4 linked regions of the Drosophila melanogaster genome follow. The protein of the gene in region 3 purifies or fractionates together with the protein of the main gene of each other region. This does not show direct contact. Each region holds a gene or a part of one and is shown on either strand. Other genes may lie near its edges. The genes, in order: Galphao, RhoGAP68F, Rab4 and Vps52.

The links.
Region 1: the proteins of Rab4 (region 3) and Galphao purify together in Drosophila melanogaster (affinity purification with western blotting, with the first as the bait; one study listed by BioGRID). This does not show direct contact.
Region 2: the proteins of Rab4 (region 3) and RhoGAP68F purify together in Drosophila melanogaster (affinity purification with western blotting, with the first as the bait; one study listed by BioGRID). This does not show direct contact.
Region 4: the proteins of Rab4 (region 3) and Vps52 purify together in Drosophila melanogaster (affinity purification with western blotting; one study listed by BioGRID). This does not show direct contact.

What each region holds. Positions count from the first base shown.
Region 1 is NT_033778.4:10,435,193-10,442,784, reverse strand, and holds the start of Galphao (G protein alpha subunit o), read right to left. Parts: upstream 4,801-7,592; 5' UTR 4,679-4,800; intron 4,538-4,678; exon of another isoform or gene 4,434-4,537; intron 4,315-4,433; exon of another isoform or gene 4,293-4,314; intron 4,180-4,292; exon of another isoform or gene 4,048-4,179; intron 3,415-4,047; exon of another isoform or gene 3,411-3,414; 5' UTR 3,340-3,410; exon of another isoform or gene 3,272-3,339; coding exon of another isoform or gene 3,154-3,271; intron 1-3,153. Other genes in the region: CG12895 (uncharacterized protein), read left to right, coding at 5,448-5,465, 5,522-5,703, 5,766-6,036; RanBPM (Ran-binding protein M), read right to left, coding at 7,563-7,592. UniProt on the Drosophila melanogaster protein: Guanine nucleotide-binding proteins (G proteins) are involved as modulators or transducers in various transmembrane signaling systems.
Region 2 is NT_037436.4:12,137,035-12,144,479, forward strand, and holds RhoGAP68F (Rho GTPase activating protein at 68F), read left to right. Parts: upstream 1-1,833; 5' UTR 1,834-1,917; exon of another isoform or gene 1,918-2,067; intron 2,068-2,928; 5' UTR 2,929-3,057; coding exon 3,058-3,094; intron 3,095-3,966; coding exon 3,967-3,993; intron 3,994-4,105; exon of another isoform or gene 4,106-4,137; intron 4,138-4,217; coding exon 4,218-4,343; intron 4,344-4,406; coding exon 4,407-4,442; intron 4,443-4,499; coding exon 4,500-4,695; intron 4,696-4,758; coding exon 4,759-5,794; 3' UTR 5,795-6,346; downstream 6,347-7,445. Other genes in the region: Atg12 (Autophagy-related 12), read left to right, coding at 1-57, 125-261, 319-441; ND-SGDH (NADH dehydrogenase (ubiquinone) SGDH subunit), read right to left, coding at 606-744, 804-910, 982-1,211, 1,283-1,367; eIF3l (eukaryotic translation initiation factor 3 subunit l), read right to left, coding at 6,517-6,651, 6,711-7,445. UniProt on the Drosophila melanogaster protein: Functions as a GTPase-activating protein (GAP) for RhoA/Rho1 during gastrulation by converting it to an inactive GDP-bound state.
Region 3 is NT_033778.4:17,570,250-17,577,232, reverse strand, and holds Rab4 (Rab4), read right to left. Parts: upstream 3,772-6,983; 5' UTR 3,535-3,771; coding exon 3,519-3,534; intron 3,450-3,518; coding exon 3,369-3,449; intron 3,299-3,368; coding exon 2,966-3,298; intron 2,903-2,965; coding exon 2,691-2,902; 3' UTR 2,254-2,690; downstream 1-2,253. Other genes in the region: Dcr-2 (Dicer-2), read left to right, coding at 1-1,838; CG42239 (uncharacterized protein), read right to left, coding at 4,032-4,130, 4,200-4,310; UQCR-6.4 (Ubiquinol-cytochrome c reductase 6.4 kDa subunit), read left to right, coding at 4,529-4,581, 4,710-4,830; POSH (plenty of SH3s), read right to left, coding at 5,231-5,405, 5,467-5,760, 5,820-5,999, 6,067-6,983.
Region 4 is NT_033779.5:5,517,726-5,525,450, forward strand, and holds Vps52 (vacuolar protein sorting 52), read right to left. Parts: upstream 6,174-7,725; 5' UTR 6,092-6,173; coding exon 5,947-6,091; intron 5,890-5,946; coding exon 5,288-5,889; intron 5,226-5,287; coding exon 5,010-5,225; intron 4,955-5,009; coding exon 4,799-4,954; intron 4,743-4,798; coding exon 4,624-4,742; intron 4,558-4,623; coding exon 4,437-4,557; intron 4,283-4,436; coding exon 3,653-4,282; 3' UTR 3,565-3,652; downstream 1-3,564. Other genes in the region: CG14020 (uncharacterized protein), read left to right, coding at 117-1,097; CG7382 (uncharacterized protein), read right to left, coding at 1,261-1,431, 1,487-1,896, 1,958-2,087; cl (clot), read left to right, coding at 2,676-2,820, 2,894-2,975, 3,411-3,564; Elp4 (elongator complex protein 4), read left to right, coding at 6,685-7,725.

The sequences.
Region 1 (7,592 bases), 7.1 Mb from region 3:
ATTGAAGAAGAGCAAAAAAAAAAAAAAATTGAAAACAATGAATGGGCCAATGAAATTATTGAATGAATTGGGATCCAGAAGCAGAGGGTGAACTACAATATATATATATATGCGATTTGGTGAGGGGCCGGAACCACAAACCGCAGCCAACGACAAACGGCAAGCAAATTGACGTTTTTTTCTGTTTTTGTTTTATCACGCGAACTCTGCGCTCTTTCGAATAAGTGACAGACAGCGGCAAAGTGGAGCACTTGTGCACTTGTCCGAAACAATCTGCACCTACCCCATGCTCAGCCCAAGCCAAAACCACCCATCCATCGAATGCCATTTTCCATTTTCTGTGGCGTTCCATGGGTTGCAGGTCGCGAGGCCTTTTGGCACTCGGGCGACATTTGACTTTGCTCAATTACGTTCGATTTGTGCTGTATTTGGCATCTTTTATAGTTTATTTAACGAGCCTGTTTATTGTCATTTTGTGGACTGCTTGGCTCCGAAATTTGGGAGAAGCGGGTCCCAGCCTAATTGCTTTGCTACATATGTTTGGTGTTCCAGATTGGATGGGTTGTCGACAGCTCCATATTGATAAAAAAAAATATAATTTGATCAAGAAATATAAGTAATTATTCAAGAATTTGAAAGAAAAATCGGTGACGCATTTTAAGGCTTTAGAAAAACGGAATGTTTCATTCTCCCCAAAGTTACAAATCGAAATGTTTTCCAAGAATTGGTCTTAATAGGTCCCGGAGCGTATTTAAATTATATTCTCCAGATCGCAATAAATATATTTAAGATGTTACGCACTTTTTCAGACGAATTAAAGTAAAAATTCCACTATATAAAAAACTCGTATATAAACTATAACTTTAAAAAATATTTAAACTTGTAACGTTCTTCTGATTGGAATATGGTTATTATTTTTTATCATTGGAAAAGATAAAACAAAATTCTTTTCGAGTTCATAAACATAGAGTCTTATCTTTTTTAACTCATAATAATTATTTAAAATTCTACCAAAGAACTAATAGTTTTTGTTCTTATCTATCTAGGAATGTTGGGGTTTTACAAAAATGAAACTTCTACGACGTTTATTTGCCAACTAGTCAGTTTGAGTTAGCAATTGTTTCTTGATTGTTTCACGTAGCCATATCACTCGACGGCACAAGGGCCGGCAAAGTGGCAAACAAACGAGCATCGAACGTTTCCTCAATAGCCTTTCCTTTCGGCTTGAAAATTATGCCTCAAGTGGCGGTTTCTTCAAACTTCCGCCAGGAGGCGCCACTCGAGAGGCACAGTGCTGTGGTGAAGTATGCAGCCACACCCAGGACATGTACACGTTTCCTCTCGCTCCCTTCCGTCCGGTGCCGCTGTGTCCATTGTTTCGTTAGTGTTTCCTGGCCGCCATTCGATGCTTCCGCCTGCCATTCGTCTGCCCCTCGACCTGCCCCCGACTCCGGCTTCTGGGCACCACCCCCTGCAGAGAGAATCGCCCATACCGTCGCACTTTCAATGTTGCAACATGGCTGCAATACACTCCCTCCTCGGCACTCCTCGCTACTCGACTCTGCTCCTTGTTGCTTGTTAGGGCGTTTAAAAGTTTTGCCTGATTGCACAGAACAACAGCGAGCAACTGTGTGGGAAGTAATGGGCCTACACAGCAAACAAAAACGGGTTACAGAGCAGGGGAATATGTATTAACTTGAGAAACTTGTTCCAAAAAAAAAAAAAGGCATCTATCTTAACTAAGTCATATAAGAAGTACTTTGATCTGGTTTATTTTTGGTTTAAGCATTAAATGTTTTGTAAACTTTATATCTTTAACTTTTGGTTTGTTTGAATGCTGCTTTAAGTGCATCCACGATATGGAGATTTTGCTTGTTTTTCGCAACATGTTTGTGTACAATGTTAAAGTGAAAGAGAAATTCCCGTGCATATTGCAGCTTTGTCCTTTTTCTGCCTGACTGCATCCCTATCTCGTTTTCGGGGGCAAGTCAAAGTCAATGGGATTAACTGACATTTCGGTGTCAGTGGCGCAACCAGGTTAACAAACACTGCACCTCGAAACCATGCTACATGGTGCACACCCGCCCACTGGCACACACGTGCAATTGTTTCAATGTCAAGTGGCGTCGATTGCCCTCATCTTTTGGCGGATGCAGACGCACTTGGACAAAATCTAAGGCTAAGGCTAAGGCTGCAGCTGCAGCTCACAGATGCACTCGACGATGAGATTCAGGCTGATGCAGGATAGAGATGACAGCAAAGACAATATCTACATGATGATTTTTTAGCATCTTTAAATTCTTAAGCTATGTTCAGATAATTTGCACTGTTTTCTTAGATTTGGCTAATTCTAGTCATTATTTTATATATTTTTTAAAAACATTGTAATTATTTCATCACTATCGAACTGTTTGGTACTGAAACCACTTTAATCGGACCGAGTCATCCGCAGGCCACATGGCTCCTCGAAACTGTTTAGGTTTTCACACTCGCCTGCCACGAGGGCGGATGCAACTGTTGCTGCTGCCATTGTCTAAGATGTTGCATGCACAGTGGTGCATGAGTCCATTTTATTTTCGGATATCCATGCCACATGCAACACCCAAAAGTTGACCCAAATTACTTCGGTTTCGCCTTGGCCAAAAAAAACACGCTAAAAATAGTTTTGTCATGGAATCGATTCATCAGCACTCAAATAGAGTGGAATAACCTTGAGTTCGATTCCTTTTGTGGGGCAACAAGTCATTACATTTAATTTAAATAACCAGTCAGTACATACAAAAATCATAGTTTTTGAATTTACTTTTATTCCAGTCTTTGAATCTTCTAAAAAATGTGAACTCTGATATAAGCCTTGATGGAAATTGAAGAGCAGCTAATCCAAAATTGCGTCCAGTACATCCAGCATTTCCGCCGCAGAGTAAAAGTGTGTGCAATAAATATCCCCCTATCTATCGGCACATAAAACCGAAAATAAAATTTTCCAAGTGCCCCGGAATCTGGCGGCCGATAGATAAACCAGCAATTTCCACCAAAATAGAACGAACAATAGAGTCGAGTCGAGTGGAAAGGTAAACGCTGAGCAGGATTTCCATTTCCGGTGAGAAAAACCCAAGTGGAAAAACGAGAAAAAGCGACGAAAAGTGCACTTACCCAGCAGCAGGAGCTTGATGTCCTTGGCCGCCTGGATTCCATCCTCCTTTAGATTCTTCTCGATCTGTTTGGATCGCTGGATGGCGGCGCGTTCTTCGGCGGATGTGGTGCAGCCCATTGTGGTTGGGTTTGGATACTGATTTGGATTCGGATTCGGATTTACACGGGGCTTTTCGGTTTTCGGGCTTTTGTTTTCCAATTTTCCTGGACTTTTTTCTTTATGTCTTATTTGCTTATGTACAGTTTAACGATTTCAACTGAAATGGAGTATTGAACCCATCAACAATAACAAATACACGGGTCAGCGGATGATTCACTATAAACAGTGCGCGATCGATAAGGCGAACCAATGAATATCAAGGATGTGTTAAATATACAGCCGAGTTCAAAATAATAATGTTGAGTTATCTTAAATTAATTTTGTCTGCTGTGTATAAACACAAATTGTAATTGTAATTGTAATATTCTTTCTGTTACTCAACTATTATGAGAAACACAGCTGTATATTAATTTGTATGTAATAGTTAAAAAGATTATTTTAAACTGATGTTACAAGGTTTATGGAACACATCGTTCGCTCTATGGATGTTGTACTGTACTGAGACAAGCACTAATTTTATGACCGCCACTGTCTGTGCAATGGGCCGCGCACTGTATCAATTATGTTGCTTTTGTTTTTTATCAGCAGACGCAAAGTAAAAATAAAAGCAATGATAGCCAGCTAATTTGCATATGGAGCATGTTTGCGATATCGATACAAAATTCATCAATCGCGCTGATAAGATAAATCCATCAGATAATGCTGGATCGCGATAAGAACGATGGTAATTTATCATGTAAGTGAATTAGTCTCGAGGTCAAAGAGCCAAAAACTCAAGCTTATTTTTTGGATACCACTTATTTTTTGTTGTCACACTTTTAATAAAACTTTTATAAATTTTGTTTGTTTTTTTTTTTTTTTGGTTTTATTTGTATGTTTTTTATGCAGTGTGTATGTATTAAGCGTGGGCGTAGGCGCTAAAAAAGCGCCGGGTTGGTGGAAAAAAAGGCGGTGGGTTGTGGAGTTTTCTTTTTCGAGCGTTTGCCTAAGCACATTAACATATGCAAAAAGTAATGCCGTTTTTATGCAAACTGTTAACCATTTCGGATGTATAAATTTTCATTTAGTTTGTCGCTGTTTCACTCACACGCGCGCACACACTCACTCACTCACACGCACGCACTACGCACTCTCACGCGCTGCACACGCCACACCCCCCGCCCACTGGGCCGCCACCCACCACCCCACGAGTTTTCCTTTTCCTTTTTTTCAGCTTTTTTCAGCTTCACATTTACCACCGCCTAGTTTTCCAGTCGTATACACACCGCACTAGTGTATGCGTGTGTGTGGGTCTGCTTCAGCCTGCTGTGTGCGTGTGTGTGCAGGAGGCTCTCTTTTGCGTTTGGCTGTTCTTATTGGTTCCGTTCGCTTTGCGCTTCTTTTTCGCGACTCGCTGTATTTATTGCACCGATCGTGATAGTTTACCGTTGCACTTGCCGAGCACTTGCACTTGTATTTTTGGCCGCAGTGATATTGGTAAATTGCACTTTTCTGGTGTGCGAAAATTTAGCTGCTCTCTCTCGCTTCGTTCGCTCTTTCCAACTGCAGAGCGAGGCGTTCGAACAGCTGTTGGCGGCGTCGGTGCGCAGCACTGGACGCGGCGGGGGTGGCTGTTGACCAGCACTGGCCGCAACAACAGCTGCTGCAAAACAAGCTTATATTTAAAAATTTAAATTTGTTAAAATCTTCCGCTATTTATATACATATAATTTAATAAAATGTTTTATATAAATATGAAAGAACATGCTCACTTTAGTTTCAATAAATATTTTGCATCACTTTGTATGTACAGACATTTATTTTTTTATTATGTTTTGAAACTTATCTGGATTTTAAATAGCAGGCCACTCAAAAGGATCTCATGAATACAATATTTGAGCTTTAAGTGATACAAATAGAGATATATTTTTTATTTATATTATTGCAAATAATTATTAAAAATTCGCATACCTTTCATAACAATTGCAGTGCATATTCTCCCAAATATATTCATATTTAAAATAAAACAACTATTTTAATTTAAATTCGCCTGAGGTTTGAACGGTTAAATAAAATAAATGATTAATTCAACAAAGTGTGCACTTTCCAGCACTATTTATAGCAACAGCCGATTATTATAGCAGGAATCTATCGATTATACTTAACTTTCTTAGCCAACACTGTCGTTATATCATTGTTTTGGTCGTTTCCTAAAATGTTGCGGCAATTTATAGTAAGTTTATGGCCCCAAATGTAGTAAAATATAATTGATTGCTTAATTGGACACAGGTATCTACGGTAGGCCGTCGCCTGCAACTACCTATGATGGCCCAAAGTCGCCTCGCCAGCAATTTGGACAAAACTGAGTACACAACACCCGGGGAAATTGTGGACTACGATGATCCGCCGCATTTGCCAGTTCCGGAATATCCTGTCCGTCCCGATGAGCCGCTGGAAACTCGCAAGCAGCGGTATACGCTTAAAATGAAAATATCCCAAACTCCTACTTATGATCATTCATTATCTTGTGCAGCCTTTTGTATCAAAGCAGGAAACGCGGAATGCTGGAAAACGATCTCTTGCTGAGCACTTTTGTGGCCAAGCATTTGAAGGACTTCAATGCCGAGCAGACCGCCGAGTACGATCAGTTGATCAATGGTGTCAGCAACGACTGGGATATATTCTACTGGGCCACCGATACCAAGCCAACACCTCCTCAATTCGATACCGAAATAATGCGTCTGCTAAAGGAGCACGTCAAAAATCATGAAAAAGTGCAAAGGATAAGGCAGCCGGATTTGTGAACATTATAAACTATATTATATATATAAGCATACAAAACAATGTATTAAATGAATGTGTTATTCTACTCCTGATCCTTAAAAGACCAATGACTTGAACTTGCATTTTACCTGGTATTTAAAAACGATCATTTATACGGAATAATAAATAATACGGTTGCAAGTGATTTGGTAATTTGAATGTGCTTTCATTTTTATTTTTATTTGTTGAAAACTTCAGCTTAATCAACAAATCATGACATTTGAAAAGATACAATTTTAATATATAAAACTGAACACATTGTCAGAATGGCATATATTTAATCCAATTTGAACCCCCTTTAAAACACAGTTCTCGCTTTCCTGAAATACACATCCATACAATATATTTAAACGATTATCCAGTTAAATTCTATTCATGTTTGCCGAATGTGTGTATGACCAATCTTGTATATATAGATTAAATTTTAATACGCTTAAACACTATAGCGAAACATTACACTTAAAATGTTCATTTGCTTTTGCTTAGTCTTGCCACAAGACACGGGATGGCGCGGAGTCCATCGAAAATCGCTGAAAACACGGAGAATTAAAACGCGAATGTCTACCAGTTAACTATGGATTCGGTTCTATATTAACATGCTAAGGAGATGATTGAACAGCTTTTGCTCCAGGCTAGTCCCTTCACTATCAATTCTAGATTATATTTTGGTGTGTGATTGTTGTGTTTCGGGCGGTGGAAGCGAAAAACAAAGGGCTAATTCAATTTCAAGGGTCGTGTCGCAGCACATTTCGCAAATTTAATTATACATCATAATATTACACACTTTATGCTTAGAGAGGCTATATAAAATATATGTTAAAAGTTATTAAAAATCACGCCAAATCAAAGGCCGCCAAACGCATAGCATCTTTAGCATAATCGAACAATTAAAAGAACGGCGATTAGTTTTAAATAGGCGCACTGAAGCCGGTTGCGCAGGTAAAAAAGAAAGAGAACGGAAGTAACAACAAAATTTAACCTACTGCAAATTGTAAATAATCTAAATTTAGTCCAGTGTCTCGAAGAAGTCCTGCGGATCGACGAACATCGATGGGCTGCTGTTTCCGCTCAAGATTTCCGCTTCCTCCTCCTCCTGGCGAGCCGCCTCCGCTTCCGCTTCTTCCGCCTCCTCCTCCGCTGCCGCTGCTGCAGCCGCTGCCGCCGATGAAGATGAGCTGACCCCGCTCCTGCGACGACCCCGACGCACTGGTCCCGTGCCCGTGCCCCCGCCCACCGATGCCACAGCTGCCGACCGGAGCGTACTGCCCGTCATCACGGGATCGTAGGTCCGCGACGACGGGGCATCGGTATTGCTGGACAGGGAGGATTTGCGGCGACGTTTGTTACGCCGCCTTCGGCGTCGTTTGCTGGTCTGAACTGCCACGGCAGCCGTTGATGTGGAGGGCCCAGATCCGGTTCCGGCGCTGCCCAACGGTTCCGTAAGCACACTGGTTCGCGGCAGGGTCAGCGTGGTCTCGAACATCTTCAGCAGCGTCGGGGAACTGGGTCAATTTTGCGGGAACACATCGTCGATGGT
Region 2 (7,445 bases), on a different chromosome or scaffold from region 3:
CCCAGGCAGCGCTGAGCACTTCCTCCTCCACACCTGCAGATAAGGATGGTTCCAAAAGTGAGAATCAAAGTTAACTTTATATATTTTGCATTCGTTTTATCACAAAGACTTGCTTCATTATCAGTTTGTATCCTTCTGAACGCCACTGGCAATGTGCCCATCATCAAAAAGCGAACCTGGACCGTAGATCCCAACAAGACAGTCGGCTGGATACAGACGTTCATCCACAAGTTTCTGAAACTCGATGCCAGCGAGCAAATTGCACGTAACAAATGAAGTTCCAGAGAACCCTATCTTATGTGTCATCTTAATTTTTAGTTCCTGTACGTTAATCAGACATTTGCACCTGCCCCGGATCAGATAATCAAGAACTTGTACGAGTGCCATGGAACCAATGGGAAACTGGTGCTCTACTACTGCAAGAATCAGGCGTGGGGCTAAATCGATACGCACATGACTTTGCTAAGTCTTAAGTATTTATTCGACTACTGTGTAATTTTTATATTATTAAATGTGAATAAGATGATGTTGCGAAGTCGATTTCACACTTTATTTCCCACAAAACGGGATCCTAACAATGGTATTTAAAGAATATTACAAGGGTTCTAGTCTCCGCGCAGAGCCTCCAGCTCGTCAGCAGCCTCTTTCGAAATCCTGTGGTACTTGGCCACCGATGGTCGGTAGTAGTAGGCCTGGTAATCATTGCGCTCCGACATCTTGCGACGTACTTCGTCCTCAAGGAGTCTGAAAGGAAATATATTGTTTTACAATGGGATATAACTGGGTTGTTTCCGTCGCATTACCGAATCTGGGCTTTTTCGTTCTCCTCGTAGAGATAGTGCAGGGATTTCTCGTAGTTTTGCTGATCCGAGTTCAAAATGTAGCGGGAAATAAAGCGCGAGATGGGGTGCTAGATAATAAAGAGATATCTCGGAATTACAATCTTAGTATCGATTGGTTGCCTTTCCGAGCCCATCATACCTTCTCGTACTCCCAGTGCTTGGGCTCATAGCCCTCGGGAATCTCGGCGAGCTGCGCGGGTCCCACAAAGATGTTCGCGTAGAGAACCAATGCGGTGACTGGGATGACGCCGAGCATTACGTAAAAGTGCAACAGATCCTTGAACTTGTCCCACTGGAAGCGGGATGGCTTGATGATCATTTGGTGGTGTCCATGATCGCCTCCCATTCTGCGCAGCTGTTGGTGCAGGGCTAGAAATCCAGAATATATGGTTGCGTAATGTGAAGTGTGTTTACGGCGGATATTTTCAAGAAATGCTCACCATTCCGGCACGCGGGCTCTTGCAGGACAGCCCGGTAGCTGGCGAACTTCGCCGCCGGCGACAGCAAACGGCTCCAACCGACCATTTTCTAGTAGTTTTGCGTAAATCTCACGATATTTTGGAACTGGTCGTGTCAAAGTTGCGAGCAGCACGGCAAACGGTCACACTTTTTGCAGACCGTTTTTCTGTTTTGATATATCGATAACAGCAGAGATGGCAGAGTGAGTTGATTATTGCTGCTCAAGCACTAAAAATGTTTAAAAAAAATAAATAAATTGTTTAGGTTAAGAAGATGTGGCGAACAATAGATTAAAATAATTCACAACGGCTATTACGATCTAAATTTTTATATAAAATCCATTTTGTAATTCGTGGGAAGAGAATTATAAGCTTATTATTAGACATTGTCAATATACACAGACTTGAATTCAGTCACTATATAAATAGTTCTTAGCGATATTTCGTGCATGCTGCTCCGTGACACGAACAAGTTTTTCTGGTGTTCGTTAGATTTGTGCTTTTTTGCACCACTAATGGGCTCGCCAAACCAAAGTTTGCCATCACTAACCATCGACAAAAACAACGTCGTCTGGCAGTATAAAATTAACGAAGATTTTTTCCCGTACTGATAAAAGGTACTTTCCTAGCTAAATCTGACTCACAAACAGAGTAAAAACTTAACTGAAATGAGAAACGAAAGCGTGATTAAGACAAATTCATCATTCGTATAAAATGTGATGATTTCTTGTGACTTATAGAAATTCGTAACTTAGTATAACAAAAAAGTAAATATCATTTAAAAAGGCTAGACACAAATGCGCAGTTTACTTGCAATTAATCGGTTGTTGTTGCACAGAAATTGCGTTTTTCGACAAGAAACTTGTGAAATTTTTACTCAACTTCTGCGTGTGTGTATGTGCAAACAGTGGAGGGACAAAGGAGCCTACTCCCATTTACAGTGGCGGCCTAAAGGATTTGTCACCTTTTGAAACAGTGGTGTCAAAAAGGATGTGTACTAATCTCAGTTTACGCTTGAAAATTATTAATTTATTTCCCATTTACAATCCAATCACGTATTTAAAATAAAGTCATACAAGCTGTATGTACAGTGCACCCTCCCTAGTTAGGACGCTCAAAAAAAAAGAACTTCCGTTCTTTTATATACTCAAGTTATCACAAGAAATTATCGCGACAATATATAACCATTTTTGGCAGAAACGAAGGAAGCAAACTACGTTTCACTTAAAATTGTGCCTTTCTATGTGCTTTTGTGAAGCTTTTTGTCGAAATTGCGATAAGCAGCCTCTGTGTTTTTGTGTTATCTCTTCGAAAAACAATTCACTTGTCTTGAGACCGCAGTCATGGCCACTTTAAATGTCCCCACTGTATGTATGCATGTTTGAACATTAGAAATGGAGGCGGTGGGCGTCTTTCAGGGCCAACTTAGCACTAAGACTTCGAGCAAAATCATTGATGTAAATGAATGTGAATCAGCCGTGCCATACAACCTGTACTATATCCAATACCAAGAAATAACCATCGAACAAGCAACCCAAACAGCCAAGAAAACTACATAGCTTGCTAATGACGTCATCGATAGAGTACTGGCAACTGCTGCTTTTGGCTAATTTATTCTCACATTTCAGCCGCATACATTCTACATGCCAATAATCGAGCCCAACGACTGACTGAGCCACGTCCTGCGTCACCGCGAGTAATCCAATCACATCGAACGGATAGCACCTGAATCCGCATCCACTCCCATCTCCACCGCCATGGACGCCCATTCGCGTTTCGCGCCGAGATTACCAGGTAAGTCCGCCGGCCGAACGGCCAAGTCATGCTTTTCGATTCGAATATATATCTAGTTTTGATCTTTGGTTCTGTAACTGCTTAGCATTGCCATTGTCCAGTGATTTGCCTTATTTGAGCGTTCAGAAATAGTTCCCAAAATAAAGAACTTCGTTAATACTAACTACCTAATCTAATGAAAGACGTAATTGTAAAAGAATTATCTGTTTGATTGCCTAAATATAAAGTAACTAATTGTGGGTACACCATATGGAAACCCATTTTCCCATCATTCTCTTTTAACTTTGAGCCCACCATGAAGATTATAAAAACGGGCCTAAAAATATGAGGCCAGGTTTTCTACAATACCTCACCTCCAATCTGTGTTTCAAGTTTTGGGAGTCATTTCTTTGCGCTGCTTTATTTCGTTGTTTTCATTGCCGTATCGTAGTTTCTTTGAGGGGGGAAGTGCCCTCGTTTGAGAACTAACAGTTAAAGCCAGTAATTACGACTAATTTTGTGCCCCGCCCCGCCCCGCCTTGACTAACCCCCAACCGCCGCCCCCTAACCAAGTTCTTTGTTTTTGGTATCAAGTTGCGCTACTAACCCCATTTCAAACTGCATTATCCAGCCTATGTGGGCAGCTTACCGTCTCCTCCTGTACATACATAACTTGCATTTTAAAACTATCCAATGTGGTTTGTTTGCTTGGTTTGTTGTGGATCCTATTTGTTAACTACTTTTCGCTAGCTGTGTTGTTGCCAATGTTTGGTTACCCGATGTGTTTTGTGATCGTATGTGTTTGCCCTAGCCCTTATAGCCTTACTTCATAGTCTATAGTCTAATCGCCCTAGCTTAGAGTTTCCTAATCGTCTCTGTTCTGTTCTGTTCAGTAATCGTCTGCCAATTATATCGAAACCGTAAGACTGTTGATTATACAATCAGATGCCAATGTACTTAACAAATGAAATTTCTCTGATTCATGTCTATTCACTTACTCAAACTCAATCCGAACTAAACTTGTTGCCTCAGGCCGTCAAAATACTTAACTGAAAGCATTACTTGTAAGATTACGTTTTTGGAATACAAGTCCGCGCCAGGGAAACCTACGAGATTTATAAATGCCTTCCTCTCGCACCCCAAGGTCCCGCCATCAATCCGATCGTCGATAACTCGGATGAGCCCCAACCCAGTCTCTCCGATCTGCACGACTTCGAGCCGAAGCTAGAGTTTGATGATACCGAGCTGCTGGCCCCATCTCCGCTTGAAAGTAAATTGAATATTTAAAGAATCTACAAAATCATAGTCAAACTAATTCTTCGATTTTTCCCAGAAGATGTTATGGTCGGTGATTTCGTTCTGGCCGAAGGTAAGTGGCGGAATCTACTTCTCCTGGCCAATGAATAACGTTTCGCATTACGCCTAGATCCAGAACTTGAGCCCGAGGAAGATGTAAATCCGCTGGAGGACGACTTCGAGGACCAACTCAGGGAGCAGTCTGAAAACTTTCAGACTCCCAGAAACAAATGCGATTTCCTGGGAACCGATAAGCAGGGTCGCCACATCTTTGGCATTTATGCATCCCGCTTTCCCGAAAAATCCCAACTGGAAGGATTTGTGCGGTAGGATTCATATTCGAGTACATTTTTTGTTCAATCATTAATCTATTTCCATTTGTCTATCAGGGAAATCATCAAGGAGATCGAACCTTTTGTGGAGAACGACTACATTTTGGTTTACTTCCATCAAGGCCTCAAGGAGGACAACAAACCATCCGCACAGTTCCTGTGGAATTCGTACAAGGAGCTCGATCGCAACTTCCGCAAGAATCTGAAGACGTTGTATGTGGTTCATCCGACGTGGTTCATACGGGTCATTTGGAACTTCTTTAGCCCGTTCATTAGCGACAAGTTCCGCAAGAAGCTAGTCTACATCTCCAGCTTGGACGAGTTGCGCCAGGCGCTCGGCCTGAACAAGCTGAAGTTGCCGGACAACATCTGCGACCTGGACGACAAACTGAACCCCAGCCGGAAGCCATCGACACCGCCGCCCAGCAGCAATATAAATGCATCCCGGCAGCAGCAGCACAAAATGGCGACGACGCATCAATTTGGTGTGCCCCTGAAATTCATTGTGATGAACAGTCCGTGCTTAAACTCCATTCCGCCAATTGTGCGCAAGTGCGTGGACTCGCTGTCCATAACGGGCGTGATCGATACGGAGGGCATATTCCGTCGATCGGGCAATCACTCGGAGATCATGGCGCTCAAGGAGCGCGTCAACCGCGGCGAGGATGTGGATCTGAAGAGCGTTAATGTCCACGTGATAGCCGGCCTGCTGAAGAGTTTCCTGCGCGATCTCGCCGAGCCGCTGCTCACCTTCGAGCTGTACGAGGATGTGACCGGTTTTCTAGACTGGCCCAAGGAAGAGCGTTCGAGGAACGTGACGCAACTGATACGCGAAAAACTGCCAGAGGAGAACTATGAACTGTTCAAGTACATTGTTGAGTTCCTGGTCAGGGTGATGGACTGCGAGGATCTGAACAAGATGACCTCCTCCAACCTGGCCATCGTGTTCGGTCCGAATTTCCTGTGGTCGCGCAGCACCAGTACCTCCCTGGAGGAGATCGCTCCCATCAATGCTTTCGTCGACTTTGTGCTGCAGAATCACAAGGACATCTACTTGATCGACGTCAATCAGCGCACAGTGTCCGTGGACTAACAACTGGCCCGGCCACCAACAAGTCCGTAATTGTAAATTGTTTGATTTTAATGTTAGTCCTAAGTGAACCAATGGTTAGCTAAAGAGAGAGCACACAAAAACGCAACAGAAACTAGAGAACAGAAGGCAATGTCGTGTATAAAGTGTACTGTAATCCTAAGTTGAATTTTAAACTGTGTGTATGTGTGTGGAACTGCTTGTAGCCCCAACTCCACGCCAACTGTCCAACCCCCCCGAAAATCACAATTATTTACCCCCAACAAGCGCTTAATACGATTGATTTACCAAAGAAATTTGCTCGTGTTCGCTATGCGACGAACAGGAGAGAAATTTGATATGAGATGTTATTATTATATACTACGTATTAATTCAACGCACATTCCCCCATAACCGAAAACGAATCTTGGTTGCGTTGCTGAAGGCACATGCCGAGCACAAGTGGAGTTGTGGCGAACTCAAAAATCGTACTGTGTAGTCTTGAATTTCCTTATAGTCATACAAACAATTTTTATAAAATAACGGTATTGTTAAAAATAAAGCAAGTGTTAAAACAACTTGGATTCTTATTAAAAATTAGATAATTATTTTAAATTATTTAAATACTCAAGACACATTTTGAGGACCAAACTTGCGCAAGATCGCAAGCGATTTTTATTGATATCGAAACAAATCGGTCCAGTATGGAATATTAAATTTATCATTAAGGGTCACAAGGAGTCGGCTTAAATGTTGATGTTCTTCAATTTGCGATTCAGATCGTTGAACTTAAGAATTTTACGCACAAAGAAGTCGCCATACCGATGTGAAACCTTGGTGTCGGCTATGTGGATCATGTCGTCGTCGATGTAGAAGTCCAACTAGAATATTAATGTATATTATTATATTTGCCATCAGAATTTGTCTATATTAATCTCACCTCGGAGCCAGACTTGAATGTGCCTTCCAGGCCGCTGGGTCCCTTGCTCCACACTAGGTTGCGCATTTTGTGCTTGAAGCAAAGCAGGCGAATCAGCAGCTTCGACACGTCATCCTCGCTGGCGTTGGGATCGATGAAAGATGCCAGTTTGGTCAGCGGCAGGGTGGTGTACAGCTTTAGATACGAGCGCGTTGTGGGCAGATCCTTCTGTTGGCGCACCTCATCCATGAAAACCTGCAACTGGTGTTCCATGGGGTCCTTGACGTAGTCGTCCATGGGTGCGTCTACAGCTGGCGGGCAGGGGCTCACGAAACGTGGGCAGGCGAAGACAAAGAAGGACTTGAAGACCTCCAGATCACCGCACTGCATCTTAAACATGGCGTCGTGGTAGTTCTTTTCCCTGAGCACCTGCTGGATGGACTCGTCGATGCACTGGGGATGGAGTACCAGGCAGATGGCCAAAAGATGGTACATCTGCTCGGCCTGCTTGTTGATTTGATCGTTTTGGTATGAACGCGTGCTGTACAGCTGCTTGGTACGCTGAATGTACAGGAGGATATCAGAAAAGGTGCGGATGGCATCAGCGTAGCGGCGCATCATCATGTAGGCGAAGCCCACGTAGTACGACGTCGAGATTTGGCAGGCGGGGATGTGCGAATAGGCGGACTTCTTGTGGATCTCAATGGGCTCCAGCACCTTGATGGCCTGGTAGTAGTCACCCAGCAGCGAATGAAC
Region 3 (6,983 bases):
ATCATTTTAGCGTTGGTAATGTATGTGAGATGAATGAGATGGATTTTGAAGATAAGGAATACTGGGCAAAAAATCAGTTCCATATGCCCACGGGTAATATCTATGGCAACAGAACTCCGGCCAAGACTAACGCAAACGTGCCAGCTTTGATGCCGTCGAAACCGACTGTCCGCGGGAAGGTAAAACCACTGCTCATTTTGCAAAAAACTGTTTCCAAAGAACATATAACGCCAGCGGAGCAGGGCGAGTTTTTGGCTGCAATCACTGCCTCGAGCGCAGCGGATGTTTTCGACATGGAACGCCTTGAGATTCTGGGCGATTCCTTCTTAAAACTTAGTGCCACGCTCTACTTGGCCAGCAAGTATTCGGATTGGAATGAGGGCACTCTTACAGAGGTCAAATCCAAGCTTGTGTCTAATCGTAACCTGTTGTTCTGCCTCATCGACGCGGACATTCCCAAAACGCTCAACACCATTCAGTTTACGCCTAGATACACATGGCTTCCACCTGGCATCAGTTTGCCCCACAATGTTCTAGCCTTGTGGCGAGAAAATCCGGAATTCGCAAAGATTATTGGCCCACACAATCTCCGTGACTTGGCTCTCGGCGATGAGGAGTCCCTGGTGAAGGGCAACTGCAGCGATATCAACTACAACCGCTTCGTGGAGGGATGTCGAGCAAATGGGCAGTCCTTTTATGCCGGTGCCGATTTTTCATCCGAGGTGAACTTCTGCGTGGGACTGGTCACGATTCCCAACAAGGTGATAGCCGATACCCTTGAGGCGCTATTGGGCGTAATCGTTAAGAACTACGGATTGCAGCATGCCTTCAAGATGCTAGAGTACTTCAAGATTTGCCGTGCGGATATTGACAAGCCGCTTACTCAGTTACTGAACCTCGAACTGGGCGGCAAGAAAATGCGGGCGAACGTGAATACTACAGAAATTGACGGCTTTCTCATAAATCACTATTATTTGGAAAAAAATCTTGGCTACACGTTTAAGGATCGACGATATTTGTTGCAGGCCCTCACCCATCCCTCGTATCCCACTAATCGCATCACTGGGTCCTATCAGGAGCTGGAATTTATTGGCGATGCCATACTCGACTTTCTAATCTCTGCCTATATTTTCGAGAACAATACGAAAATGAATCCGGGCGCCCTCACAGATCTGCGTTCCGCTTTGGTCAACAATACTACGCTGGCCTGCATTTGCGTGCGGCATCGGTTGCACTTTTTTATCCTAGCGGAGAACGCAAAGCTCTCCGAGATCATATCCAAATTCGTGAATTTCCAGGAGAGCCAGGGTCACCGGGTTACCAACTATGTGCGCATTCTGCTCGAGGAAGCTGATGTTCAGCCGACTCCGCTGGACTTGGATGACGAATTGGATATGACTGAGTTACCGCATGCAAATAAATGCATTTCTCAGGAAGCAGAGAAAGGAGTCCCACCAAAAGGTGAGTTCAACATGTCCACAAACGTGGATGTGCCAAAGGCGTTGGGGGATGTTCTGGAGGCCCTTATTGCAGCCGTATACCTGGACTGCCGAGATCTCCAACGTACTTGGGAGGTAATTTTCAATCTCTTCGAGCCGGAGCTTCAGGAGTTCACGCGCAAAGTGCCCATCAATCATATACGACAGCTCGTTGAGCACAAGCATGCGAAGCCCGTGTTTAGCTCGCCCATCGTCGAAGGGGAAACTGTAATGGTTAGTTGTCAATTTACCTGCATGGAAAAGACGATCAAGGTGTACGGATTTGGGAGCAATAAGGACCAGGCCAAGCTATCGGCTGCCAAGCACGCCCTTCAGCAGCTAAGCAAATGCGACGCCTAATATGATGATTCCAGCCCAGTCTAGTTTCTGCTAAACTGCATTGAATTTGCTTTCTAGCCAAGACGTAATCCTTTGGAAGAGGACAGCAAAGGGCACCTAATGAACTTAACTGTATATCTTAGAATTAAAAAATACTTTTCCATCGCTTTAATAGACATAAATGTCTAAAACCAAAAAATCATTTTTGATCACCATAAATTGTTAAGACCTTTTAAATCAAAACAAAAACAGCCCATTTGGAAACACAATCTAAAGATGCTATGCCAATTTCCTCAAATACAAACGGTTTTTAATTATTTTTTTATCAATTATTGCCATTTAAAATGTTTTAGCTTCATTGTTATTAATAAAATTTAATAGCTTCCCCAATACAATATTTGTTACCTTGGGTCGAAATAAATATTTTTATACAATTGAATTTATCAATGGGCGTTTTTATTTACCGCGTGCATGCTTCAATGGGATTTACAATCGGCGACGTCGTCAACGGCGTATCGCTACTTATTTACATTAAAAATGCCGAGTGTATTCTGTTCATCCTCTAGATCAGATCCATGTGCTTATAGCCATACATCATTTGTTGCTCGAGGGCTCTAGTGCTTCACGAATTACAAATTATAGTAAGTAACATTTGGGGTTAACCCGAAATCATAGGTTTTCAAAGTGGTAATTGGTTATGTTAAAAAACAAATCGATTAGCATTATGCTTACAATTGGAATGATTAATCTAGCAAGACAAAATACATACTAAAAAAGTGGACACACACAAGTACACAATACAACTAAGGGGTAATCCGAATGCGCATTCCGGTTTGAGATTAAATGGAAATAAATCAGCACAACTTATGCGACTTAAACGCGACAGGTGCAATCCGGCTTATTGATGCTGCGCTGTCGTGTCTGTAAGTTACGGAGAGCAGCTCCGCCGTACTGAATACCGCTGCCGATGCGCTCGGGATCCAGCTCTCCGGTCTCAATTTTGGCCAGTATGGTCTTTGAGCACTTGAGAAAGGCCTCTTCAACATTCTCCCCCGTCTTGGCGCTCGTCTCCAGGAAGATAAGCTCTGCAACGACAAACAGACGTAGAATTACGATAGGAAATTTATGGAGAATCCTAAAAAACAGACCGTTCTCTTGGGCAAAGGTGCTTGCTTCCAGAAAGGTCACATCACGCGCCTCCTCCAAGTCCTTTTTATTGCCCACCAAAAGGATCACAATATTTGGGCTGGCCAGAGTGCGAGCATCATTCAGCCAGTTTGTCAAAGCATTGAAAGAGTCCCGCGAAGTGGCATCGTAGACCAGGAGAGCTCCGGCTGCTCCGCGATAGTACGATCTTGTCACCGATCGGAATCTCTCCTGACCGGCTGTGTCCCATATCTGTAGCTTTACCGACTTGCCGCCCACGTTCACAATCCGCGAGCCGAACTCCACTCCGATGGTGTGCGAACTGTCGTCTTTGACTTTGATGGTACATCAAAATGTATAAAATGCATTAGGCGTGTACCATTTTCAGGCTACCACCAAACTTACACTTGCTCTCGATGAAGTGATGCAACAGACAACTCTTACCGCTGCCAGCACTGCCAATTATCAGGAACTTGAACAGGTAATCTAGGTGAGCGCCGAGCACCGATATTAATTAGTAAAATGCATTAATTAATTAAATGTGTGCTGACAAACCGTATGTTTCCGACATTGTTTTTGTTCGTCTTCTGCGTAGTTGTCTTCTTTGTTTGTTTTGGTTTTTCGGCCAGACTTCAGGACTATCGGATTGCTGGTGCGTATGGGCACCAGGAAGTGCGCAGGACACGATCAAAACCCGCAATATCCGTCGATAAGTAAGCGTTTAAACAATTAGAAAGCCAAAAATTACCTTAAAATCTTTGACTGGACTCACTTCAGTGAGAAGGTTCGCTACAAACGCGAAAATACCAACAAGGGGTGGGTGTGACCAGGTGGTTCAAAATATGATTCATATTGCAATTAAGTTTTTGTTTACTTTTAAAATATTTCCAAATATATGAAAATTGCCGAAAGCTACAAAGAAAAAACAAAATATGAAATGCAGCCCACAAAGGTTTATTGTCTTTTTTCAAAAACCCTCTTCTATTCATCACACAATTTGCATACATACATATATGCAATAAAAGTATAAAAGATGGTGGGCCCTGGTAATCCAACCCGGCACATAGTCTACGTATCCTTTTGCTTCTCTGGTTCGTAGTCTTGATAGCAATTAATGGGATCCTTGGCCGTATAAACTGAGTATGCCAATTTGCTGCCCTTGAAGTTCTGTAAACTCAGGGCAGAAAGGGAAAATTACTTAAAATTAACCATTCTGATAAGCACTATCTGCCGTACCTTCATATCGCCAGATATCAGAGTCCAAAGGAAAACGAACACCGCCGGTATCACAGTGGACAGGACAAACAGCTCGAATGTGTTAAGCTCCCCAAAAACGGATATTTTCATTTTAATTTCGTAATTTTTGATGAGTTCTTTGCGAATATTAGTTTTTGTTGATGACTAGTTGTTGTTCTCACGTAGGCCGCACAGTGTTGTCACACCTTGCTTTTAAAGTTTTACGCTATCCTACGGTCACACTGTAGTGGTATTATTTAGGACATTTGAAACTATTGCGTTCATTGCGAACATTTTGGTGCGTGTGAAAAGTTATTAAATCAACAAAAATGGCTTTCCGCATACCTTTTGGCAAGAAGCACGCTGAGATAGCGAGTTCCTTGTAAGTATATGCTGTCGTGCTTGATTCTGCATCATGAATTCATTAGTGTTCCCGCTCTTTTACTGCTACCAAAGCACACATTGCATAACCCCATCCAGAGAACTAAACTAGTTTCTTTTAATTCGTAGCATCCGATCTGGAGCCGGATTCGGAGGAGCTGCTGGCCTGGCCGTGCTTTACTACACCGACTGGAAGCTGGTCCTACAGTACGTGCCCATCTACGGATCCAAGTTCGAAAAAAGCGAGTAACCTTGCCTGCCGTAGTTGAATCCACAGTTAGCCTCGATGTTTTGCTTGGTGAATAAAATAAGTTAAAACGACCAAAGGGTATTACTGAGTATCGTATATTACAAATAACTTTGTAGAGGGCACAAGGATCGGTTAGATTATTTCTCTAGCTAACTAATCGCTAAGGCTTAAGTAACTGTTCCCTAAGTCTTACATGGCTAGCCTATTTTGATCAAGCATTGTATAAAAAAGTACAACGGCGAGCTGCCCATTCGATTGGAAGAGTACAAAACGGTTTCTTTTTTGAAAAGAGAAATATGAGATTGCGTATTTGGAAGCCCGAATAGACCGACGATTGAATCCTTTTAGACAAGTAATTTGGAATTTCGCTTAATAAATTCTAGTTTGAACCATAACTTTCCTAACAATCCGGTTCAACAAAGGAGGCGGGGAACAGCCCGGTTTTGTGGGTACGGGCATGGGTGCCCTTATACCAGCCGTTCTTCTGCTTCCGCTGGACGTAGATAATGTCGCCCAAATGTAGCTCTAGTTCAATGTCACTGTTTGGTGGATACGGCACAATGCAGCGGAATCGACTACGATAAAAGGTTGCATTAGTAAATCTCTAAGCTCACAATAATGTATTGCAAAACCCACCTTTCCCTCGTGCAGTAAGGAGACTTAGTGGTGGCGCTGGCCTTAATGGCCGCCTCCGTGATCATATTGCTGCTGGGACTCAGCACATGACTCGCATCTAGGCTGTGCGACTTCCGATGGCTGGGTGCAATAATCATATTGGCATGCAACTGGGATTGCGCTCCACCTCCAGGAATCACCTGTTGCTGACCGCCGGCGTAGACAGCTGGGGCCACGGAAGTAGTAGGTGGCGGCGGCGACGCGGCATTGTTGTACATACTGCGAAATGTAGCTGCATCTAATGATTGTCTCGCGCTGAATCAAAATCCAAGAGTCAGTTAAAAGTTAAAGCATTCAAATTAAGCCTAACGAACCAAATCAAGTGAGGACGTTCCTTGCTTCCTTTCACGCGTTGCGATCCGTACGAAACGCTGTTCGTAGAAGCGGAAGGCAGCTGCTTGGGTAGGAACTGCTGTTGTTGTGCCGCTGTCTTGGCTGCTGGAGTTTCATTGAGCGGTTGACTGTGCTGCAGCTGACTGGGGCACGAGCCGGATCTGAAGAGACAAAACAATTAAACTTTTATTCTGGTCTATAAAGATAACTTATTATTGCGGATCTAACCTTACATGTACTGGATGCAATTTAGCTGATGGGTTTGTTGTAAATTCCACATTTGTGCTAATAGCTTCTTTCGGAACTTGCTGCAAGGACGCTCCCGGAGATTTGGAGCGTGTTTTCATGTGAGTTAATCTCCTCATAAGTCCCACTGCTCCAGAGGAACTGCTGCTCGTAGTCGAAGCTGTGGCAGTTTCAGGCTTGGGCTCCGATTTTCTGCTGAACAGCGCCTCCACTGGTTTCGACCACACAGAGCAACTGGTGGTCGTGGCGGTAGCCTGCTGCTGACGAGGTGGCAAATCAGGCGGTTGCATGGACAGCATGTTGTTGAGTCGCACATCTGGTGCAACTGGATGCTGCTGTACTTGTGCCATCTGGGCGTCTGCATTTTGGGGAACATATTTCCATTGATGCATTAACTGCTGCTGGTCGCGGGCGCGCAGGGGCGTCAGGTAGTTGCCCGGGAACACTCCAGTGATGTCCAACCAGTTTTTTCCCTTGAACCAACCGTCCACACATCGTTCGGTCACAATGTAAACACAACCCTTTTTTAATTCCAGCTCATCCGTTTGGCGTGGTTTGTATGGGAACAGGGCTAAGTATCCCCAGGGTAAATTCGGTTGCATCTGCTGCTGAACAGTGGTCTTAAGTACACGCGATGTCTGTGGGGCTGACGTGGGTTTTAGAGCTGTTGAGCTGGAAACTTCCAAGCGGCTTAGTTCATGGGGCAGGCTAAGAATTTCAGCCGAATGGCGGTTGGTCTGCAGCAGACTTAATGGAGCTCCTCCTCCCAGCAAAGCATTTAGTGAGTGGCGTTTCTCCTTTGCTCCCTTGTCACGGAAACGAACAGACGCCGATCCGGAAGCTACTACATGTTGGGGGGTATTCGGCAGTGAGATTTGGTGATTCGGACTGCAGTTATT
Region 4 (7,725 bases), on a different chromosome or scaffold from region 3:
GTGGAAATTCTATTTTGTTCGTTGCCTGGCAACGAAAACCTCGTTTCATAGCAAACCCAGTGGCAAGTGTCAAGAAAACAGGTGCTCAAAAAAAAGGTTGATTTACAGAAGACAAGATGAAATTTATTCCGCTGCACACGACAAACACGGCGATCGTGTACAAGAACTCGCTGTGCTCCTTTGCCTCGCTTTTGGTCCTGGCCTTCATTGCGCTTTCTGTGATGCTGCCCGTGCTGCTCGTGTCCTTGCTGAGTCCCTATTCTGGAATATCAGAATCGAGGGTGCTGTACGAGCAGCCGAATGTCGAGTTCAACTACGAGTACATATTCGTGGGCACAACGGATCAGGGGGAGTACGAGGAGGAGGAATCCCTGGTCGCTTGCAGCAGCTTCAGCCAGTTCAATGAGCAAATGGAGAGTTATACGAATAGCTGCACCACCACTAGATATTGGACAGAGGATGTGGACTACGATGGCGTAACAGATCGGGCGCACTTTCAGCTGGAACTGCAGGATGTGCCCACGCGATTGGTGAGCTTCAATCTGCTGGTCTTCTTTGAAGCTGAACTGCAGCACAAGTGCGATCTATCGCCTCCGTCCGTGCTGGCCCATCAGTTACAGCTTCCTCTGCACGCTCGCCTCAGAAATGGACACGTTCAACTGAAGGGAGAGCTGCAGCTGAAGCAATACGTAGAGTTCACCTGTCCATTTCCGGGACGCAACATCAAGACTCAGTTCCGACAGGTTCAATTGGATACGAACTCTACCAACGGAAATATAGATCAGTTCAAGATGGAATCGCTGCTAGCGCAAGTCAAGGCCAATCCAGCATATTTCCAGCTGGCCGTGCAGGAGACATACTACAGAGAAACGTCAGCGCGCTTGCAGCCTGGTCTCATCATTGACCTGGAGCTGGACGTGCTCCAAGTTGCCGCTCGCTATCATCTTAGCATTTGGGAACGGCTTGGACAGTTCTGGCTGTACTTCGCCTCCTTCTTCGGCATCTCGTTTTACATAATGAACAAGCTGAAGGACTTTCTCTTCGGACGCCACATCGTTCGCTCCTGGGAGATCATACCGTGGAAAAAGCTCTACTGACACCAATCGGGCGCCATTTTGGAGATGGACAACTTCTCGATTGGCGAATAACTTAAAGGTGACTCTGCTTGGTTACCCAATGCAATTTCATTGTCAGTCAAATAATAAATATAACAAATGTACAGAGAATTTAAGAGGAGAGCAGAAGATCGGAAGGATCCGCCTACTTATCCCGGCTATTGGACATCAGGGCTAGGTTGCCAAAGGAAGATCCAGCGGACGCTGGCTCGGGGGTGGGGTCAAATGCACGGTTGTCCTCAAGGATGATGGTGGTGCGGGGATAGTGATCCAATTGCACGAACAGATAACGATACTCCAGTTTACCAGAGTCACTCTGTAAAAAGTGAGGATTAGAAAAATGCGGCCTGGGAGATATTCATCACACATACCCTTCTGGACTCCAGCTGCACGGTGGCCTTGTTCCTCAAGCCCTGCACATAGAACTGCATCCGCATGTGGGGCTTTCCATTGCGCTCGTAGCTCGAGTGCGCCACATGCTGTCTGCGACCGCGCCTGGATGTCTCGCCGAATCCCTTGATGGGCGCACCAATTGCATCCTGTACCCGCGGATCTTCGACCACACGTCTTAACGCGTCCGCGTATATATTGTTCGGGCTTTCGCTGGAGAATAGCTCTCGGAATATGGCAAAGAACATCACGCAGGTCACCCCTAATCCGGCGATTATAATCGCCGTATAACTGGCCGTCTTAGTGTTCTCCTTGATCTTCTCGCCAATGGGGCGCACATCCGTCGACACCTGGGTGTTATCCTGCGATCGTTGAAGGGATCCGCCACCATCTGCATGAATAATATAGTAAATATTTCAGATGTAACCTGATGAGAAGTTTGAGGCACAAACCGCGCGACGCTTCCTGTCGCAAATGTGGACTCCAGTGCATCGCCGCCGCACATTTTAACCTGGCAAAGTTGGTGGGCAACAAATTTTGCCGCTGAGTGACCAAATTGCGCAATAAAGCTAGCCGTGACATCGTTCACGACGAAATCAATGGTAAAAAACAAATAAACGTACTTTACGAAAAAAAGAATTCTAATCAGCTGTTTAGTTTTTCGATACAAATAGTGTTGCACATTTTCACCAATTAGCGGGTTATCGGGCTATTCCCGCTAAAATGGCTATAGCCAGCTAGAATGGCGTTTTTATTATTTCGATATTTACTAAAAACAAGAAATTGTTGAAAGTAAATTTTATATGTTTAGGGTACACAGATAATATTACAAATAAATCATATATATTACAAATAAATTTCGAAGTCAACGTATCTGTTCTTATTTATTTCCCTTTCATACGTTTCAAAATCTAAGCTCGTAGCTAAAAATCTATTATTTTCATTGGCTTGAAAATGGCCATGTATCAGTGCGCTCGAAAGCTGGTAACCCTGCCATCTGTGATAGTAAGCTTTTTTTACGTCAAAAAGTCAGAAAACCTGATAAATTAGGAGAAGTCCATTCCCCTCCAGAAGCCAGTTACTCCAAAGTTCGCCATCACGTCGCTTCCAACGCTTTTCGGTCGCATACTCAGACGCTACTGCGCGGTGAATACTAATCCCAGCAAGATCATGGTGGTCACACACAACGTCAAGGGATACGATGAGTTCACCAAAAAGATGGAGGAACTGGAGAACGGCGACGAGCCGGTCCACGTCCTCTTCAGTGGCGGCAAGGACGAGAAAGGAGAGAGCTGGTGCCCCTACTGCGTCAAGGGTGAGCATGCCGTGATCCCAATGCGGCTAACCGCAACCTATCCGATTCCCAAACTCATTTCTCACGTTTGCAGCGGAGCCGGTGATACACGATGCGCTGAAGAAGGCCCCGGGCAACTCGCACTTCGTGCATGTGGATGTGGGCGAGCGGGCATAGTAAGTTAATACCGCCAAACTGAAGAAAACAGCTGCGATTAGTTAGATAAGCAGGAATTAATATTTCATGCACTGCGAGACTGCGAACATCTGCTGGTTTCTTTGGTTCGAAATAGCCAAATAGTTTCAAAACACAGGCTTAGTCATTTAGAATGACGTACATATATGCATATATCCCACGTCATTCAGTTGCCAAAACCCTTTGTCATTCGATTATCAAGTTCAAAACATTTTGGCAATGTGAAACTAGTCACTCAACCCCAACTGTACGATGATGAAATAAGCACTCGAGTACTTTTTCACACGCCGAGAACATTCATGATAAAAAAAACCATTAAACAACGATAGCTTTACAATGCTCTTGAGTTGTATTCATGCCGCCTGTTATCACTGAACCGTGGTAAGCAATAAATTAACACTTGTTTTTCACTGCAGCTGGAAGGATTTGAACTGCCCCTTCCGCAAGGATCCCAACACGCATCTGATCTTCTTGCCCACTCTGTTGCGCTGGAAGCGGCCACAGCGTCTGGATGGCGAGCGCTGCTCCAATCAGGATCTCGTCGAGATGATGTTCGAGGATGAGGATTAAGTCGTATACCTTACATACATTTATTTTGGAACTTTACTCAATTTGGAATACACAGAAGACACACACACAGATTCAATTAAAGCGTCCCTCAGTAATTGCTCTTGTACTTCTTGATCTCCACCATCACGACGTGGATATTGGTCAGCTGGGCGCGGGCATTGGGCGTGAGGAGCTTGTGGAATCGGTGATAGTATTGCACCAAACTGGCCAACGCAAGCTGCAGAAGCTGTGAGCCCGTCAGCAATGAGGGAAATGAGAGAAGCACCTCCCTGTTTAGCTCCTCCAGAGATTTCTTCCAATTGGCCGAGAAGCTGGCGACCAAGGCCAGACTTCTTCGCTCCTGTTTGCGCAGCTCATCCATTTGTTCCTTCTCGAAGAAGTGCTCGCACTCCTTGACGAACTGAATAATGCCTCCGAAATGAGGGGCCAGGATCTCCTCGACATATTCCGCACTGCGGGAGTTGAGCTGCTCTCTGAATGCCTCCGCTTCTTTGGAGTTATCTCGCGTGTGCTCCATCAACACGCCCAAAACCAAATCGTAGTTGTTTATCAGGTAGATTAGCTGATCCTTTCGCGTTGGAAATATTGCGGCCATGCGAAGGATAAAGCACTCCACTTCATTTTGCAGTTCCAGAAGCAGTCGGCTAACCAATTCATTAGGAAAATGCTCCGAGATTCCCACAATGGCCGCACTGAACTCTGCGTAGCGTCGTGTTATCTGTAAAGTATACGTATTATATTATGACAAGGCGTTTTGTTCAAAAGAAATGGTTAAAAGTTATCTCTATTGGCCCTCTCTTGACTTTTAGAATGCTATCAACATCGATTTAAGATAATTTGTAACCCGTACTAACTTTAAATCGTATACTTACGTAGTGCGGTCCCAATTCCTTGTTGAACTTGGTTGGATCACAGTCATGTATGCTCTGGATATTCAAGCGGAATACTAGTTCGAAACGTGGCCATATTACCGCCTGCAGGGAGTCCCAGTATCTGAAATCAAAACATATAAATATCCAATTGTGAACCAAAATCATCAACGCCCATGAATAGACTCACTTATCCAATGCGGGAACACAGCGCTTGTGGCACATTAGCTGATAGCGGAAAATGAGATGGATGCACAGGAACATGGCAATGGTATCAAAACAGTCGTGTATGGAGGTCTCCAGATTTTTCTAGGTTCAAAAAACAGATATGATTAATATTTCGCAAGTAAAAACCATTGACTTACAATCATTAGAGTTAGGGTTTTGCCCATGATTTGGTTGAACAAATCTTGCGCTTGAGTGCCGCGAACCATAAAGAACTCCGTGACAAATAGGTATTCCCGACAGGCATTGTCCACTAGGGCGTATTGCTCCGACCGAAAGAGAGCTTCCGCTGTGTACTGTTTAAAATTTGAGATGTATCTCCTTTGCAAGTGTATGTATCACATCTCTTACTCGATTCTTTAGCTGCGCATGTGGCACTATAATTGGTGCCTCCAGCTGCTGGTTAAGTATATCGCCTCGCTTTCCTATTGTGAAAATGGTGCTCTTGTGCTTTAGACTCGTCGTCTTGGAGAATAAACCTTTGGATGCATTATCTTCGATGCCCATCAGATCGTCCTTTGTGCAGGACTCCTCGAATTTGAGGCTCGTCAAGCGTGTGGAATAACTCTGCAAGAAAGTTATGAATTTAAGAAAATTCATGCTTCCACAACTTTGAAAAAAAAACCAACCTTAAAATAGCTATAGTAAATTTTGCCCATCGTATCGATGTATTCACTGCATATTTCCTGCGCCACATGCCGCTCGTTGGACAGGATGAACTCGAAGAAGAATTTGTGCTTCAGCATGGCGTTCTGTGGAATCTGGTAGTTTGTCATGGGCTTCCGGAACTTGTAAATCTGCTCCAGCAGATAGGAGCGAATCTTGGCCATGGCTTTCAGTCGAAGCTTCTGCAGCACATCGCTCACATCGCTGGTGGACTTTGACTCTTTGAAGCTGAGCTCCTTGACCAGCGAAAGTTTGTGATTCAGTACATTCAACTGGGTGCTGAAATCCCGCTCCGTAACCGGGGTTTCCATTATTATGTTGATCATCTCCTCGGACACGGCCATGTCCTCGATAAACTGGGACAATTGAGCCTTGACCGACTGACGATTGGTCAGTTGGAGGGACATGGATACGGATTTTCTTTGCAGCTGCGTGATCTCAGTGCTTATGTTGTTCAAAACGCTCTGGAAGCTCATCAGCATATTTTCCATGCGCTCCAGGACATCGTCGCAATCGTTTATCTGATTGTGCAGGTTGGCTATATTCTGCGACTCCGCTATATAGTCTGGTATTCAAAGGGATATCATTAGAGCTAAGTTTGCATATGGAACATGGTGCTTACCCTCTATGGACTTATTCTCCACCTCCTTAAACTCCTTTTCAATCTGTCGTGAATATTGCCGCAGATCCGTGGTGTTCTTTAGGATCTCCCGCACCTCCTCGTTGTCCAGTTGTTCCGTCATTTGCGGGGACGGCACCTCGGCCATTTTTGTTTTCCAATTTAAAGGTATTTTTCCCAATTGTTTTTCTCAACTACCAACAAAAATAAAGTATGTCATCAAAACAGCTGTTTTTGTTATCGGAGTAAGATGTGCTTTTGGAAAGACCCTAATATTGGTGATGAGAACTAAACTATGTTTTCAAAAAAAAAAAAGATTTCTTGGTTCATATAAAAAATTACTTAACTAATACAATTTTAATTAAAATTAATTTTTGGGTGAAAATTGAAATTGAATTTAAGACCAATTTTTTTCAATTATTCATTTATTTGTACACAAGCAATCAATGAGTTTCTTTTCTAGTACAACACTTGACTTGTGCCTCTTATATTCTACCAATTATACAACATGAACACAAATTTATTTTTAAGCAATAAAAGCTAAACTATCGCCCTACCCAGAACTTGCGAATTAACAGCTGTTTTGACTATCGATACACAATTGGAGAGTGTGCCCCCATTGGCAGCCATCGAGAATAGATAATATCGAAAGTATCGAAATAGAAGTTTACGCGAAGAGAAGGAAACACATAGCAAAAAAGAACGCAAAAAATAAAGGTTAGCGAAATCTGTGCGACGAAGATGACCAGTTTCCGCAAGCGCACCGTGCAGAAGCCAATCCGCGGCACCCGCACCTCACCGCACACGGCGCAGGTGATCACCTCCAGCGGAAATCCGTACTTGGACGTGGTCATTGGCGGCGGTCTGCCCATGGGTTCGATCTGCCTGATCGAGGAGGATCGCTTCATGACGCACGCCAAGGTGCTGGCCAAGTACTTTCTGGCCGAGGGTGTGATTTCCAAGCAGGAGATATTTCTGGGCAGCCTGGACGACATTCCAGCCGAGATGCTGCGCCGTCTGCCCAGACCGCTGACCGACCAGGAATCGATGGAGCAAAGCGAGGTGCAAGCGCTGGGAGATGCTGGCGCCGAAAATGGCCTAAGGATCGCCTGGCGATACAATGATCTGCCGCTGGTGAATTCGGAACATGCCACAGCAAAAATCGGACACCATTTCAATCTGATGGAACAGATGGACTCCATGATGCTCTACAATGTCAAGACTACCTTGTGGGACGATAGCCCCAAGCATCTGGACATCGTCATTGACGAGGAGTTCTCCAAGAGCAGCTCCCCAACCACTCCGTCGCTGGAGCAGCAGCCCGTGGAGGATGCCCCACCGATTCCGGGCACGGAGACCGCTCCGCAGGAGAAGATGCCAGCCCAGGAGGAGGAGAACTCTGCCAACAACAATAATAACAACAATAACAATAGCAGCAGCGTGACCAGTAGCACAAAAACAGGCAGCCAGGATTCGCCGTTGCAGGTGTTCCACAACCCTCGGTACAAAGGACTGCTCAACGATATTCAACAGCTGCTGCGTAACGAGAGCTTCGTCGCTGGGACCAAGAATAACCTGTGCCGCGTCTGCCTGACCTCGTTGGGATCGCCGCTGTGGTACGACGAACACTTCGGCGAGGATCTGATCAAGTTTCTCACACTGCTGATGGCCAGTGTGCGGAACTGCAACTCCGTGTGCCTGATCACGATGCCCATGCACCTGATTGCCAAGTACGATGCCAGCCTAGTGCCCAAGATCCGCCAACTGGTGGACTATGCCATC